3 linked regions of the Oryctolagus cuniculus genome follow. The protein of the gene in region 2 interacts with the protein of the main gene of each other region in a pairwise test. Links are inferred from orthologs where the notes say so. Each region holds a gene or a part of one and is shown on either strand. Other genes may lie near its edges. The genes, in order: ASB9, CKM and TRIM63.

What was found.
Region 1: the proteins of CKM (region 2) and ASB9 interact in binary tests that used the Homo sapiens proteins (3 or more experiments, as listed by UniProt). The two-hybrid records come from large-scale screens. The link is inferred for Oryctolagus cuniculus from reciprocal best matches to the Homo sapiens genes CKM and ASB9.
Region 3: the proteins of CKM (region 2) and TRIM63 interact in a two-hybrid assay, tested with the Homo sapiens proteins (2 studies listed by BioGRID). The link is inferred for Oryctolagus cuniculus from reciprocal best matches to the Homo sapiens genes CKM and TRIM63.

What each region holds. Positions count from the first base shown.
Region 1 is NC_091453.1:1,414,824-1,420,314, forward strand, and holds the start of ASB9 (ankyrin repeat and SOCS box protein 9), read right to left. Parts: upstream 3,370-5,491; 5' UTR 3,035-3,369; coding exon 2,941-3,034; intron 1-2,940. UniProt on the Homo sapiens protein: Substrate-recognition component of a cullin-5-RING E3 ubiquitin-protein ligase complex (ECS complex, also named CRL5 complex), which mediates the ubiquitination and subsequent proteasomal degradation of target proteins.
Region 2 is NC_091449.1:11,497,646-11,503,385, reverse strand, and holds the start of CKM (creatine kinase M-type), read right to left. Parts: upstream 3,344-5,740; 5' UTR 3,312-3,343; intron 1,896-3,311; 5' UTR 1,878-1,895; coding exon 1,685-1,877; intron 1,192-1,684; coding exon 1,037-1,191; intron 312-1,036; coding exon 179-311; intron 1-178. UniProt on the Homo sapiens protein: Reversibly catalyzes the transfer of phosphate between ATP and various phosphogens (e.g. creatine phosphate).
Region 3 is NC_091438.1:145,359,721-145,365,207, reverse strand, and holds the start of TRIM63 (E3 ubiquitin-protein ligase TRIM63), read right to left. Parts: upstream 3,807-5,487; 5' UTR 3,658-3,806; coding exon 3,499-3,657; intron 2,774-3,498; coding exon 2,601-2,773; intron 960-2,600; exon of another isoform or gene 1-959. UniProt on the Homo sapiens protein: E3 ubiquitin ligase. Mediates the ubiquitination and subsequent proteasomal degradation of CKM, GMEB1 and HIBADH.

The sequences.
Region 1 (5,491 bases), on a different chromosome or scaffold from region 2:
AAGATTCTAAGAGTAGGTATGAATTTCTTTCCTAGGGTTGCCATAAACTGGGTGGCTTCCAACAACAGAAAGCTATCGTCTCGCAGTTCTAGAGGCCAGAGGGCTGATGGAAGTCTGCAAGCAAAGTGCCAGAGCACCAGGCTCTCCCAAAGGCTCTAGGGATGACCTTCTTCATCCATTGGAGCTTCTGGCAATGGCCATTGATTCTTGGTGCTCCTTGGCTTGTAGAAGCTTCACACCAATATCTGCATCTGTCATCACATAGCATTCCCCTGTGGGTCTCCTCTCCTTGTCTCAGAAGGACACCAGTCATGTGAGATTAAGGACCCATCTCCCTGCAGTTACAACCTCGTTTTAACTAATCACATGGGCAAGAACTCTGTTGTCTAAATAAAGGTCACATTCAGAACTACAGGGAGGATACAATTCAACTCATTAATACAGTACCTTTAGCAGGAAAAAAGACATATTTTCCCTGCACCTGGGACAGGAGGGTCAAGTATTAAGTCTCTACAAAGAGCCAGTTGCCCATCTTCATAACCTTTCCTCCCACTCTCCAGAGGAGGACACCCTGCAGGTGGAGGTGGGAAGGGCAAAGCTGCCTACGACGAACCACCCCTGGGCCCCGTGTGCCCTCGCAGCTGGCCTCGTGCCAGGGGACATGCTTCACTTGAGCCGGCTTTCTCGCCCAGCCGCTTGGAAACTGAATTCTGAGTGCTCCACATTCCATCCTTCATGAAGGTCAAGACTTCAGGTGTCTAAACAATTACAACCAACTATAAATGAGGTTTTGCCCAAGAGGCAGGACTCCTGCGAAGCAGGAAGCGAATGACTCCACTTGCATGGGGAGGAGAAAAGTCCGGGAGAGCTTCGAGGGGGCAGTGGCTGCACTAGGTGTGGAAGATGACTAGGAGTTGCCAGTCGGTGAGAAGGTGAGACAGCAGACGTGCCTGGGCCTCTATCCTTGGGATTTGCACTTCTTCCAAAGCTTCTCTTCCCTTAGTCGCTGTGGAATTACAACATCTGGAGTTTCTTCCAGCTTCCCTGTCCGACTCCTGATCCTGTTTCCTTGACTGGAGGCCTGTTCCGGAGCTCTGTCCTTAGCTCTCGGCTCCTGGCCATCAGACAGTTTCTCTTGCCCGAGTTTCGCAACTTGCAACCTGTGCTCGCTCCCAAGCCTCAGCACAGCACCAGGCTGGTGAGCAGCCACCCCGGGCACGTCTAGGTGTGAAACAAAACTCCCCGTTCACACACGTCTCCCCGATCTGCTTATGGAGCTCTCTTAGCTGACGCTAATTTAGACTTGCAAACGTTACCATTTCGGCTGCCTTCCCTCCTTTAACCCTAATATTTAATGAAGCAGCAAGAGTCTCATTTCTCTTTCCCAAGAGATTCTCACTCTTTCTCTGTTATTTCCAAAGTTTAATCCAAATGGAAGCTCCATACTGCAACTAGTGCAGTGGTTCTTTACACGTGGGCCCCAACCAGTGCCACGAACAGCCCCTGGGAGCTTGCTGTGGCTGCACAGTTCAGGCCTCGCCCCTTCTTTATCCATCATCAGATGCTGTATTGCCTGCATTTTACCAAACCTTCCAGGTGATGCTTTGGCACAGGGGAGTTTGAGAACCAGTGGGTTCTCCTAAAACCCCATTACAATGTATCCCATGGCTACCAGATTTACTTACAGCTCTCATTATTGCGAAGTCCACACCAGAATGCACAGCTCCCAATTCCCTGCCTCCTGAAGCCCTTTAAAGCTTCACTAGCCAGCTGCATGCCTCCAGACTTGTCCGCACTCCCTAAGACTCTACATGGTAGCTCAAACAACGTGCTCACTTTCTAAACGCCGTCCTTTTGAGGGTAACACCCATCCAACATCACCCACCCAGCCCGTCCAATCAGGGTTGGCTCGGGACCTTTAGAAACCCCAGTGAAAAGTGGCTAGTGCCTCTTATGTGGAAAAAAAATAAGTAAAATACTTAACAGTAAAATAATCATGCAGGAATCAACCAAATTACTGACTCTTTCCATAATAATTGGTTTGCTGCTTTTAAAATATATTAACCAAATTCTTTTTTAAAAATGAGTTTTGATGCTGCTCTTCTTTCCAAATTTGTGCTCAATAATGAACAAATGAGCCAGTTTGTTGGCTCAGTCAAAGGGAAGGCATTTCTTATTTTATTTCTTCCAGGTTTTTTCCCTTTGAGTACCTGTACAGTAGGAGATTAATAAGGTCTAACTTTTTTATTATCCCTCTGATCAACAAATGTTATGGGCTGTCTACCAAGGTGTTTAATATAAGCATGCCTTGTTCAATGCCTAGACCCATTTCTTGGAATCCAGCCAGCCAACAGGCACCTGCTGGATGCTCATATGAGTGTGACAGTGTCTTTATGTGTGGGCCTCCATCCATTAACAACGACAGCAGGTGGGAATCATACCTCTAAGACATCTCTCCAAAGGCTTTAAAAAAAAAGCCTTTTAAAATGATTCAATCAGCATTTGAACATCATTTATAAATCTAGTCCCACCTAAATACCAAATAAGAAAGACTTTTTCACACAAAGAAGGTTTTGGCTTTAAAATTTTCCTATTTATAAGTAAATTTAAACCTGCAACTAATTGCATTTGACTCAGAAGGAATGATTCCCTGGAGCTGAAGTGTTTACTGGAGAAAAACCTGTGACAACGAAATCCGTGTCCTCCACGGGCTCTGCACAGAGAGGTAGAGAGGTGTCTCTGCACAGAGAGGTAGAGAGGTGTACACGTTTGAACACCAGTGTAAGGGACAGTAGCAGCTGGCCAGAGCCGTCTGTCCAGTCACTTCCCCACAGACCCACCTCGGACAGAGCGACTGAAACCGCCCGGCCCTTTCCTTTCCTCTCTCCTAAGCACAGCAGCCAACCTCCCACACTCCGGTTCCCGGCCCCAGCAACTCACCCCCCATCAATGGGTTTGCAAGCAGCCTAGTGTCAGAAGAGCCTTCGAGCCCCGGGGGCTTGCTGCCGATCCTGCCCCCTTGTTCGCCATCCATGGTGCTTTCCCGGGCCAGCAAGGTCCACGCTCCAGTTGCTCAGTAAAGTCCAAATTCCATGTTCCCCCTGTTCCCGGGAACTCCCAGTTCTGTGGCTGGCCGAACAGCACACGTTCTGCTCAGGCTCTCCGGCATGGCACTCGGAGCGCTACCTGTGGTCAGGCAGACAGGCACGCACGCCCACGCACGCACACACTCCACCTCGCCGGCTGGCCGCCAGCCAGAGCCCACAGCAGCCCCCCAGCCCCAAGTCTGCAAATTTGCTGATGTCACGTCCTTTCCAATACTGAGACCAATCGTTGAGAAAGCCTTGGAGTTTATCAGGAAGGAAACTCACTTTGTAACTTGGGGAAAGCGAGGGGAGCTGGGTGGGTGTGAAGGAAACAGCTCTCAGGCTGCAACCTTGACCCCCCTCCCGGGATCCGTTTGTTACGTGGGGGTTTCTTGTTGTTGAGACAAGCCCAGCACCAAGAGCTGAGAAAGCTGGTTTTGCAGCAGCCCTGCTGGACTGCTTGCACAGTAACACACACTGCACACCCTGGCCATCTGCACATGTGGTTTCAATTTTGCTGGGAGTTTCTTATGGGAAAATGTGTCTATATGTTACAGAACCGGGCGTTCGTCTTCTTCCTGTTACCTGCAGGGAGTTCACTGGATGTCCTCCTGCACCCTTCCTCCACATATTTGGTATTAACTTCTGAGTAAATAATGAAGCCTTGCAATTGCATTCATGGGCTGCTGGGTGGCAGGAGATGTGGAAAAAACCTCCTCTCTTTCTATTGTTATTTTTTCAAACTGTTTTGTGTTGTTGTTGTTAAGTAGTCATCAGCTTGCTGGTACAAAGTATTTTTTTTTCTGTATCTGTCTTTTCAGATAAACCCAGTTTCCCCATACCCCTGGGTGCTGCTTCGTGCGGACGGCCCCCTCCACTCCCATTGCTCCTCTTCTTCAGACAGAGGAGGAGTTTCACGCCAGCGGGGTAAGGCTCTGAGTTAGTCTCAAACGCAGTCTGGCTGTGCAGTGGTCACAGAGTTATTTTAATGCCAAAGGTTTTCAATTCACGGGTTCTCAGTTGGAACATTTGGTAACCACCGTTAAGGATTGGAAGAGGCTTTCTTATTTTAAATTCATTTGTGTGCACATGCGTATGCACACTTATCCCCCTCTATTTTCCATGAAATGTAATTACAGTAACCTTTGGTTCTATGCTTTTTACACTGATTTGCTCTGGGAGAGCTTTCCATTTCAGTGCATATAGCTTTGCTGTTTCTTTAGTTAGTGCTGCCTAGCATTCCATAATATGCCAAAGTATTTGATTATTCCACTAATAATGGAAGCACTGTGTTACCATTTCTTTTAGTACTTACAAAAGTACTGAAGACCATGTTTTTGTACATATGGCTTTGTGCACATATGCAATTTTTGGGAGATTCCTAGGAGTGGAAATGCTGAGTCAAGAGTATACTCATACACACGTGATATAGCATAGAGAACTGTAGACACACAAACCAATGAGTGCCTAAGACCGGTAGATTGTATGAATGTCGGTGTCCCAGTTATGATATTGTGCTATACTTCTGCAAAAAGGTACCACTGGGGAAAACCAGCAAACAATATGGGCGATTTCTCTGTATTCTTTCTGACAACTGCAGGTGAGTCTATCATTCATTCTCTGAACACAAACTTCGGTGTTAAAAAAAAAAAAAGAGGTGGCTCATTTGAAACTGGGATAAACACTGCCAAATTGCCCTCCATCTTTGCAGAATTAATGCAGAAGGCCGTGCAGTTTTCTCACCACTCCAAAAGGAAAGAGTTGAAGAACGATAAACCTGTGTTTGGCAGACACTGAGAAATTTGCTTCCAACATAGACTAGGTAAGAAGGAGTTCAACAGAGGAGCACACTGGGGAAGCTGGAAACTATTACCGTTTTATCCCAGGAAAATCTCCGTAGTATAGCTTCTTTATTTTCTTTTAATTAAATTTCAAGCTGAGATTTTTTTTCTTTCCACATTCAAATGTGACTGCCAGTATTACAATAATGATGTCCAGGTGGTTACCCTCTTACCTGGGAGGGAATCTATACACTAGTGACTAGGAGGATAAAACTGGACCATGTGGACTGTGATTATGGAGAAATGGGGTGGCTTAGCAAGACCCGTGAGAGAGAGAGAGCAATTATACCAATGTCTAATCAGCCCTTGTGAGCATCGTTGCACGTGTCTGGCTATTCAGTGAACTTGGCCCAGGTTAGGTACGAAAAGAAAATGATTGCTTGCAGCAGGTGGGAAGGCCACAGCCATGTCTTGCCATGTGCAGCATTCTCACGAGTGGAGCCTCTCCTCAGCCCTCAGTTAGATGTCCCAGGTACACCTTACCCATGGGTTATCAGACGCTTTCCTCCTGAGGCCTTGGGAAACCTCCAGTCACTTTTCAAGCCATCAAAGAGAGCCTAGGAG
Region 2 (5,740 bases):
GAGGCCCCACACTGGGCCAGAACGACTGGGAATGAGGGCTGGGTGGGTGCATGGATGGGGGTCGGTGTTGGGCCCGCAGACCTCGGACATGGGCGGTACTGACAGCTGTCACTCAGCAAGCTGGTACCAGGGCCCCCGTGTTTGGAGGGCTGGGCCCCACGGCCGGGGAGGCTCTCACCTTCCACGGAGAGCTTCTCCACGGCCCGGCGCTCGCCACGGGAGCAGTGCGGGGGCAGCGTGTAGCCCTTGATGCTGCGGCCGGTGCGCACGCGGCTGCTGAGCACGTAGTGGGGGTCCAAGTCGTCCCCACCCTGGGCCGCGGGCGGGGAGGGCGGAGGTCAGGCCGGGCAGGGCCTCCGCCCCCCCCCCAGAGAGCCCAGGCCTCCCCCACTTCCTCGACCGCCCCTGCTTCCGCTCCTGCCTCTTTCTCCCTCTTTGTCTCCCCATTTTGTTTCTGTCCATCTCCCCTCCCCATCTCTCCCCCCTCCTTCCATCTCTCTCTCTCTCTCTCTTTCTCTTTTCCTTTTTAAATGTTTACATATTTATTTTCATCAACTTGAAAGGCAGAGAGACAGAGAGAGAGACAGAGAGAGAGAGAGGAAGAGAGAGATCTTCCATCTGCTGGCTCACTCCTCTAATTGTCTGCAACAGCCAGGGCTGGGCCAGGCCAAAGCCAGGAGTCTGGAGCTCCATCCGGGTCTCCCCTGTGGGTGGCTTGGGTCCGAGGACTCGTGCCATCAGCTGCTGCGTTTCCAGATGCATTAGCAGGGAACTGGACCAGAAGTGGAGCAGCCGGGACTCGAACCAGGCACTCTGGGGCGGGACGTGGGCCTCACAGGTGGCAGAGTCAGCTGCTCTGCAGCAGTGCCGCCCCTCCCCTTTCTATACCGGGCCTTGCGTCTTCCCCCAGCCCCACTCCGCACACCCTCGCACCTCTGTCTTATCCGCCCCTCCCCGGTGTCCATCGCCCCAGATGGGCCCTTCTCTCTCTCCCTCCTCTGCCCCTCCCCACCTCCCCTCCCCCGGGGTCACCAACTTTGAGGTTCTCGTGGTTGAGGTCGGTCTTGTGCTTGTCGGTGGGTTTGAAGCCCCCGTGGCGGTCCTGGATGATGGGGTCGAACAGGTCCTTGAACACCGTGTAGGACTCCTCGTCACCGGCCACGCAGCCCACGGTCATGATGAAAGGGTGCCCTGGGGGCCGGGGGGCGGGGCAAGGGCCGGAGCTCAGCGAGTCGCGCATGCGCAGACGGGGCGAGGGGGCAGGACTGGGGTGGGGGCCGGCGCCTGGCAGCCCCTGAGTCATGGGATCTTAGCCTCTGTGTGTTCAGACTCAGCTGTGGGCTCCCAGCGGTCAAGGTCATGAGGAAGACCGCTTTCCTGCCCAGAGAGAGCCCACTTCCGCCCGCCCTCCAGGGGAGTCCTCCGAGAGGGAGCTGCGTCCCCACCGCATCCGAGGGTGCGCTTGGTGCCAGGCGCTGCGGGAAGCCCTGGGCGCAGGGGAAACTGAGGGAGGTTCAGATGGCGCCCCAGGGGGCCTCTCGGGGCGACTGCGCACGGGCGTCGCGTGGCTGTGGTTTGTCCCAAGCCCTCCAGCTGGATTCCCTTACTCGGTTTTGACAAACAGCTCCGCAGAGGCGGCTCCCATTCTGCAGGTGAGAAGAGCGAGCCCCCCCCGGCCGGTTACCTGGGTTGTCCACGCCTGTCTGGATGACATCGTCCAGGGTGAAGCCGGAGGGCGTCTCCTTGTCGCGCAGCTTCTTGTAGAGGTCGGGGGTCAGCACCTTGGCCATGTGGTTGTTGTGTTTGCTCAAGTCCGGGTACTCCTCCTCGGACTTGTAGTTCAGCTTGTACTTGTTGTGGGTGTTGCCGAACGGCATGGTGGCGGCGTCGGGGGGCTGCGGGGCCGGTGGGGAGAGCTGAGCGAGGCTCCAGGCAGCGTGGCTCGGAGCCAGGTGCAGGAGGGTCCCAACTCGGCCACGCCCCCGCTGCTGAGCCGGCCAGGAGCAGTCTCCCCGCTGGAGACTTGGTTTCTCCAACTGGAGAATGGGGGGTGGGGGAGGGAAACCCCTCCCCCAAAGCTGGACCTATAGCAGGGCATGGAATAGGTGCAGGCTCTGTGCTCTTCCAAGCCCCGCTCAGCTACTTGCCACTTAACACCCGGCTGTGTGGCCTTGGGCCGGCGGCTGGACCCCTCTGGGCCTCCTTTGACTCATCTGGCAGATGGGATCACAGCCGGACTCACTTGGAGGGAGTGACACTAGGGGTATAGCCCTCAGCACCCCCCGTCTATTGTCTGGTGCTCATCCAGGTGGAGAGGAGGGGAGGGACGCCCGGGCCCCACCCCTGCTCCTGCCAGACCCCCGACTTGCAGGGCTCAGTGGGAAGAAAAGCCATGAGCTTGCTGTGCGGCCCCAGGCTGGGCCCCAGGCCTCTCTGGACCTCCGTCTCCTGGGGCGCCCAGCTCGGGCCTGGCAGCGGCGGCGGCTGCCATCACCCACACTTTTATTCACCACACTGGGCGAGGCAGGGGCCCCCCAGTGGGATGGAGGGAGGGGAATGGGGCTGGAGTGAGATGGGGGGGCACGGGGGCCCCCGGAGACCTTCAGGGCTGTGGGCCAGGGTGGTTATTTTTAGAATCTGGCTGACTGCTCCCCCCCAACACCCCCAGCGGCTGCCCCGCCTCCCCCCTCGCTCCTGGGCTCAGCTTGCGCCAAGTCAGCAGGCCCGAGACAGGTGGGCCCAGGGGCTGGGACGCTGCACAGACGGCCTAGGGCCCAAGGACAGCCTGGGCCTCAGCCCAGACCCCCGCCCCCACCCCCCACCCAGAGGACGTTCGGTCATCCCTGCTGGGCTGCCCCAGGAGAGGGCACTGAGGCAGACCACGCCCCCAGGTGCAAGCCACGCCCACAATCCCTGAGCTCCCCAGCTCTGCTGGGGCACGGAGTCACACCTGCAAATGTAGAGACGCCCCCCCCCCCCGCCACAGGAGAGCAGGGACCCATGGTCACAGCCACGAAGAGCCCAGGGCACCTCCTAGGGCCTGCGGTGCTGGCTCGGTGACAAACTCAGGGGCACAGGCCTGGCCCAGCCCCTGCAGGCTGACAGCTGCTGAAGCCCCCACCCCTGCTCTCACCCCCGGGATGCTCCCCCGTGACCCTCAGCATGCCCCCCAGTCACAGGGCCCACGGGCGGCCAGGCAGGCTCACAGGGAAGGCACAGCCAGGCGCACAAGGCCCAGCCAGCCAGCCGCCCCCCACCCAGGCCCCTGCCTCTCACTCCCCCCCCCCCCACTGAGGCCCCGCAGGTGGTACCTGGCTGGGCTGTGCTGAGCGGGGCTACGTGTGTCCTGCAGGCGACACTGAGGCAGATCCAGGGCCCGCGGCCCCGGCTTTATGTAGGGGACCCTGCTGTGCCACTGGCTGGGCGGGGCTGGCCCCAGGGAGGGGGCCTGGAGGGCAGCCCAGCCTCTCCCCCCCCTATGCCCGGGCACAGTGCCCACCTGGACGCGGGCGTGCCTTGTGCCCAGCCCCATGCCCTTGTATGGGCCGCCCCAGGCCGATGTGCAGAGCAAGTGCTGAGTCGGGCTGGCGGGGGACAGCTGGCCCCCCGCCGGGAGCACGGGACAGTGGCTGGGGGTGTCCCGGCACGTACAGCTCGCCGTCCCCTGGCCCCTAGGCCTGCTGCTGTTACCAGCCCCCCGCGGGTGCCCCCTGCCTCTGCACCTGCCGTGGGCTGCACACCCTAGGGAGCACCAGCGCCAGGGACACCCAGCAGTGAGCCCAGGACAACCCCCCCGGGGGGGCAGTGAGCCCCTCAGCGGGGGGTGGGGGGCCTGCTGGGAGGGGCCGTCCAGGAAGGGAGCTATTTTTAGAGCGGTCTCTGCTGTCGGCAGTCCCAGCACCCAAGGCTGCGGGTAGGGGGGCTCAGGGCAGGTGCTGGCGGGGGGCCCACGTGTCCGGGCTAATTATAGCCGGCAGCTCGGGTGTCCTGGGGCCTTGCCTCCTTACAAGGGCACCCGAGGCCCCCAGGGAAGGGGACTGGGTGCCCGACTCGCGAGGACGTGGGCACCCCCGGCCCTCAGCCGGGGACTCTGGGAGCTGCCTCCTCTGCCTGGTGGGTGCCAGGGCTGTGGGCTGAGCGGGGCACCTCCCTCAGGGAGCTCCCAGGATTGCCCAGGATCAGAGGACATCCCTGTCTCCCGGTGCCTTTCTCCTCCATCTCCCCCATTCCTCTCCAGCCAGGTGGGGGCTGGCTCAGGGAAAAGTGGGGCTCTCCACCTCGGCCGGACAACCTTTCCCCGTCCCTTCCCCGTGGGGGCAGGCTTCTTGGTTCCAGAAACTGAGGCCCGTGGGGCATGGGAGGGGGCAGGACAGGGGGGAGCAAAGGCAGGCAGGCCCCTGAGACCTGGGGGAGAGATGGGAGCCAGTGCTGGGGGGAGCGGGGGCACCGGCAGGTGCAAAGGCCCTGGGGTGGGAGTGGCTGGATATGGGGGAGAAGCAGAGGTCAGGAAGGAGCTGGGGGTGCAGACGGGGACAGGAGTGGACCCGCGGGGCCCCGGGGGACTGCGAGAGGAGTGTCAGTGTCACCGTGCCTTGGGTGGGAGCCACTGAGGGCTGTGCGCCAGGGAGAGGTGGGTCAGCTGGGTCACTGCAGCGGGCGGCACAGCCAAGCCCTGGGCTCCTCTATCCCCTTGGGGGGCGCTTGGCCGCACAGAGGCAGAAGCCCTTTCTGTGTTCGGGAAGTTTCCTGCCCTTGAGCCCGACTCCTTTGCAGAAGGCAAAGATGCCAGAAACTCCCCTTCCCAGGATCCCTTGCAGCGCCCGTGCGGAGGCCCTGGAGGCGCGCTGGGTTGTTGCCGGGTTGTTCTTCGGCCGGTTCTGTTCGGTCGGCCTCTTCTCACTGCTGTTGCGATGTCTCTGCCTTGTGACCACTGAGATGAGCTGTTGTCTGCAGCTGGCCTCTCTGGACCTCGCGGGGAGCTGTTGTTGAGAGGGAAGAAAGGAGGTGCTGTTGCCCCAGGAAGCCGGAGTCACCCCAGAACGAAGCAGTGGGCGGAGTTACAGAGAGAGCGCTTCCACTCGCTGGCTCACTCCCCAAATGGCTACAAAGGCTAAGACTGGGCCAGGCTCAAGCCGGGAGCCAGGAGTTTCTTAGAGGTCTCCCACGTGGGTGCAGGAGCCCAAGGACCTGGCCCATCTTCCACTGCTTGCCCAGGCCATAGCAGAGAGCTGGATCGGAAGTGGAGCAGCGGGGTCTCGAACCAGCACCCCAGTGAGATGCTAGGGTTGCAGGCGGCAGCTTTGCCGGCTACGCCACAGCGCCGGCCCCTGAATGAAGCAGTCTTACAGTGGACGTGGAGTTGGCCAAGAGCGAGGCAGCTCAGAGCTGAGCTGTGGGCCGTGGAAGGCAGAGGGGACAGCCGGGAGAAGCCCCGGTGCGGGATGCAAGGCACAAAGGGTGAAGGTCCAGGCCGAGATAGAAGCAGCCCGACTGTCCCCTCTGCTGGTCACAGGCCACGGCGCTAAGGATGGCTTCCTCTGTGTCCTGAGTGGGTGCACGCACTGGCGCCTCCCCCCACGCCCGTGTCCGTGGAGTATTTCTCCAGTGGCCATGTTGGCTTCTGGGAAGGGTCCCTGGGGCTTAAGAAGAGAGGGGACCCACTTTTCTGTTTCCAGTCTCTGTTCTCTTGGTTAACAATGTGTCTGTTGTTTGAAAGGCAGAGTTACAGACGGGGGAGACA
Region 3 (5,487 bases), on a different chromosome or scaffold from region 2:
GGAGTCAGCCCCCGGCTCTGTCAGGGCAGCGGACGTTGGGGAGGATCAGCAGATGAAGAGGTTTGAAGCAGGAGGAAGCTGGGTCCCAGAGAAGTGAACTGACTTGCCCAAGGTCACCAGGCACATAAGGGCAGGGCAGGGCAGGGCAGGCCAGAGCCCGCTCGCTCTAATTATAGTCCCCATGGCTCCTGGTGGCTCCTGCTCACTGAGAGCTGGGGTGTTTATCCTAATGGCCTCACTGAATTCTGTATTTAATCCAGCAGGCTGTAACCTCCATCGGGAAACTCACCTGTTTCCTCCCTCCCAGAGTCGACAGTGTACAGTGCCTGGTGCCCAGGAGGTAGTGATTAAATACAAGTCAAAGGGCTTCACCAGTAAGCACACCATGAGGGTGTCCCCAGGTCAGGCCCTGGCCTCCAACAGCCCCATCCTTCCTAACCTGGGTTCTATTTTTTTTTTTTTTTTAAGATGTAGTTGTTTGAGGGGCAGAGCAACTGAAAGAGAGAGAGAGAGAGAGGTCTTCCATCTGCTGGTTCACTCCCCAAATGGTATGCAACAGCTAGGTCTGGACCAGGCCTAAGCCAAGAGCCAGGAGCTTCTGGGTCTCCCATGTGGGTGCAGGGGCCCAAGTACGTGGGCCATCTTCCGCTGTCTTCCCAGGCTCATGAGCTGGGAGCTGGATTGGAAACAAAGCAGCCAGGATTCGGACAGAGCTGTGATATGGTATGCTGGCACTGTAAGCGGTGGCCCAAGCCTCTGAGCCACAGTGATGGCATGTACGTTTGATTTTTTTTTTTTTTTTTGAGTCCAGATCTTACCTCCTCAACTGGCCTACATACTCATTTAGAGCCAGCGCCGTATCCACGCCACTTCTGATTCCCAAGTGTCGGATGGAGACAACTCCCTCTCAGTGTCAAGGGCTCACCTCCAACAGCCTGCACGACTGCCCACAGCCCAGCTTTCTGTCCTCCCCCCGCAGTTCTTAAAGAAGCCCCTGGCCAGACTTGTCTTCTTGCATCTTGCCGCCCAGGGCCTGCATGCTGGTAGGGGTCTCCCGGCCCTGGGAGAGGAGCCCTGGGGCCAGCAGTGGTGCACAGAGACAAGCTGTGACCCCTGACCCTTGGGTGCCCATCCTTCCCTCTGGCTTCCGTCCAGACCGTTGGAGCAAGTTGCTTGGCTCCTCTGGGTTTGGTTTCCTCCGACAGGAGGAAGAATTGCCGAAGCTCTCTGCGGGAACAGGAAGTGCCCAGCACAGAGCAGAGCCCCAGGAAAGCGCAGCGGCTGTGACGCTCCTCCCCTTGGAGAGGCCTCAGGGGCTCCGACACAGCGCGCTCAGCGGAGGTGCTCCCCGAGGGGGCTGGTATTCCCATGCAATACAGATTGGACTACTTTTATAGCGACCCACAGCCCGTGTGCATCCTGTAGCCACAATCTAGACCAGCGGTGAGGAATATGCACCAGGCACAGGCACTGAGCCCGGCATTCGGGACACCTGCTCCCCCTAGCTGAGTTCTCAGGTGGATCCTCGGCTCCAGCTCCTGACGCGGGCTCCTACGATGCAGACCCGGGAAGCTGTGCTGATGACTCAAGTAATTGGGCTCCTGCCACCCACGTAGGAGACCCAGATTAAGTTCTGGGCTCCCAGATTCAGCTCCAACTCAGCCCCCGCTGGGCATTTCACGCATGAACCAGCAGATGGGAATGTGTTCTCTCTCTCTCTCTCAAATAAATACATTATTTTTAAAACGAAAAAAGCACATTCACCATGGAGTCAGTCACACCTTCTCTCTTCTAGCTGTGTGGCCTTGGGAAAATCTCCGACCCTCTCTGAGCCTCCGTTTCCTTATAGGAAAATGGAGCTGCGAATGCCTCACAGAGTGACTGAGACAGGAAGTACTCCGGACAGTGCCTGAGCACAGCGTGTGCTCAGGGAGCACTTGACTGTGTCACATTGCCCATCGGTGTCCTAGCCCACAGTCACAGCCACGCTTCGGCCACTTAATGCATTAACAACGGGGCAGAGCGGCCATCACAGGCCCCAGGCCAGGGCTCTTCCTCCGCGGGCATGGTTGGCAGCACCTCTGGGCAGGCCACTGCCTGCTGCCACGTGCTTGGTGGAGGTTTTAGACCAAAAAGGCTGTGAGGTCAGCAGCTGGGAGTGGTGTCAGGATGTCCTCATTTGTACCGCTCTCCCGGCAGCGGCTGTGTCTCCAGCCGGCCCCACCACTCACAGATGCTGCCTCTCTTATTAACAGGGAGACTCAGCACCCGATGGGCCAGGCTCAGCCCCAGCTCGCCCCCTTCTCGGCTGGGAAGCCTTGAGTCACTGACTTGGCTTCTTGGGGATTACAGAAGTCCCTCCCGGTCTACAGGGTGGCTGCGAGGCAGGCAGAGCCTCCCCAGGGCTGGCAAGGGAGACAATGTAGCCATCGCTGCAGCTCCTGGCTATGTTGTCACTGGGCACTCTCCCTGCCCAGCCGGCCACCTCACAGGTCCCAGGCCTGTCCCTCCCTCTCGCTTCCCATCTCCCCCGGCAGTGCAGCCCGAGGGGTCCCTAGTGGCGGGTTCTGGGGGCAGGGTCTCGGGGCCGGCGAGCTGACCTGGAGCACTCTTGCTTGTAGATGTCAATGATGTTCTCCACCAGCAGGTTCCTCTGCAGCCCGTACACGCCGTGCCGGTCCATGACCACCTCGTGGCGGCAGGACGGGCAGCGGAAACGGCCGCCGGACATGGACACCGTGCCGCTCCGGTTGGTCCAGTAAGGATTTGCGGCCTGCGGTGGCCAAGGTAGAGGTGAGGCCAGTGCTCCCTCCTCAGCCCCTTCCCTCTTGAGTCTCTCCCGCTCTTGAGGTGAGAACAGACCCCTGCCCGGAGAGCCCCCGAGCAGTCAGCAGGCCTGGCTTCCGTCTCTGCCTGACCCTGGGCAGTGACTTTCTCTCTCAAAACCTCAGTTTGCCCACTCAAGAAATGGGTGCTATAATTAGGGCAAAGGTGAAGCAGTGAAGTGGCATTGGAGACGGTGCTCCTGGGGACCGCTGGGTCCTGCCTGCCTGCCAGACCTCCCTAGAGCCCCTCCGGCTCCCACCTTGAAGAGGACAGCCTCGGTGGGGGGGCCCTCTAGGCCTCGTGCCTGCCCGTCCCCCTCCTCCCACAGCTCCGGGCCCCCTGCCACTGTGGCGCTGGCCGGGCCCCAGGGGTCTGGTTTCTCTCCCCTCTCTGCCTGCCTCCCCCTTATCACTTGAGGCATTTGACTCTCAGTCCTCAGCGGGCCCAGGGCAGGCGGGGGAGCTGTGGACAGGCTGGGAGGGACACATGCGTCATGGAGAGGCAGCGGGGCCGCCAGAGCCACCGCCCCAGCCCCAGCCCAGGCCAGAGGCCTCCACAGGGGATCACTCGGAAGCGGAAAGAATCAGCTCGCATTGCAGGGCCTTCGGCTAAGAGCAAAGGGCCGCCGAGTTGCCGCCCAGGGACCCAGGAGCGGCCATGGCCAGCACCGACCTGGAAGATGTCGTTGGCACACTTGCGGCAGAGGTTGTGCTGACACGGCAGGATGACCACCGGCTTGGTGAACATCTCCAGGCAGATGGGACAGATCAGCTGCTTCTCCAGGTTCTCCATGGGGCTGCCATCCTGGATCAGGCCCGACTTGTAATCCATAACGTTGGGGTGGCTGCCTCCTCCACCTGCTGGCTCCGGAGACCTGTGCCTTTGTCACAAACACCCGCTCGGAATCTCTCGGCCTTCTTCTCCCCGCGTCTGAATTCTGTCCGGGACTGGGGCCCCTCTGGTATTTATAGCTGGGTCTCGGTCACATGAGCCCGGGAGGGGACCAGCTGAGCATTCCGATGCCAAGTGCGCGGTGGGGCTTGAGTTTCTTCCAAGCCTGGGAGACGCGGCCCTCTCAGATCACACGCAAGCCTGAGCAATCGCTGTTCCCCGGGCATAGGGGGTCGAAAACAAGAACAACCTGTTCGGAGGCAGCCTGGCGGGGGCATGGGTACCCAGAGTTCCCTCCAGAAACTGGGTCCCCCTAGCTAGGCTGCTGGGCCAGGGATGGGATCCAGGGAGGGGACCTCGGGGATTCAGGGGTTCATAGTCACTGTCCCCCTCATTAACGTAAATCAGTGCCTGCCACTCCCCTGGAGTCCTGGGCAGCTCTCAAGATAAGGGACAGGGCCGCCCCTCTCTGAGCCTCGCACCTGAGCCCAGCGTCTCATGTAGACAGGGGAGGCCCCACCCGGGGTGTCTGTCTCCCTCTCTTGGCCACTTATTCCCCTTAACGCTGAAAGGGCTCCCTTGAGTCCAGTCCCCTCATTCTATAGAGTTTGAAATGAGTCCCAGCAAAGAGAAGACTTTACACTTCCTAGCAGCAAAGCCAGGAACCTTATCCACACACCAGACATTCTTCAGTGCAGCAGGGACCAAGGTGACAGGCAGAGGAGCGGTCTCCTGCCCTGGGATGTGCACAGCCCAGGAAGGAGCAGAGGGGAGCAGCTCTTATGGAAACCCCGCCTGGACGCTCAGCACTGGCCGGAAGGCTCCCCTGGGTCTCGGCACACATTTTCAATTTTACTCCACTTTAAAAAAGCTTTACTTATTATTTTTAAAGATTTATTTCTTTTATTTGAAAGACAGAGTTACAGAGAGGCAGAGTCATAGAGAGAGGTCTTCCATCTGCTGGTTCACTCCCCAGTTGGCTGCAACAGCCGGAGCTGTGCCAATCTGAAGCCAGGAGCCAGGAGCTTCCTTCCGGTCTCCCACGTGGGTGCAGGGTCCCAAGGACTTGGGCCATCTTCTACTGCTTTCCCAGGTCATAGCAGTGAGCTGGATAGGAAGTGGAGCAGCCCGGTGCCATGGCTCACTTGGTTAATCCTCCGCCTGTGGCGCCGGCATCCCACATGGGCGCCGGGTTCTAGTCCTGGTTGCTCCTCTTCCAGTCCAGCTCTCTGCTGTGGCCCGGGAAGGCAGTGGAGGATGGCCCAAGTGCTTGGGCACCTGCACCCGCGTGGGAAACCAGGAAGAAGCACCTGGCTCCTGGCTTTGGATTGGGGCAGCTCTGGCTGTGGCAGCCATTTTGGGGGTGAACCAACGGAAGGAAGACCTTTCTCTCTGTCTCGCTCTCTCACTGTCTATCTGTCAAGTAAAAAAAAAGGAAGTGGAGCAGCCAGGACTTGAACCGGCACCCATATGGGATGCCGGCACTGCACTGCAGGTGGCGGCTTTACCTGCTACACCACAGCTCCAGCCCCAATATTTACTTATTTATTTGAAAGGCAGAGTTGGAGAGAGAGAGAAAGAGAGAAAGAGAGCGAGCGGATCTTCCATCTGCTGGATCATTCCCAAAATGCGTGCAACATTCAAAGCTGGACCAGACCAAAGCCAGGAGCTGGGAGTTTCATCCACATCTTCCATATGTGTGCAGGGCCCCAAGCACTGGGCCATCCTCCACTGCTTTTCCCAGGCACATTGACAGGGAGCTGGACCAGA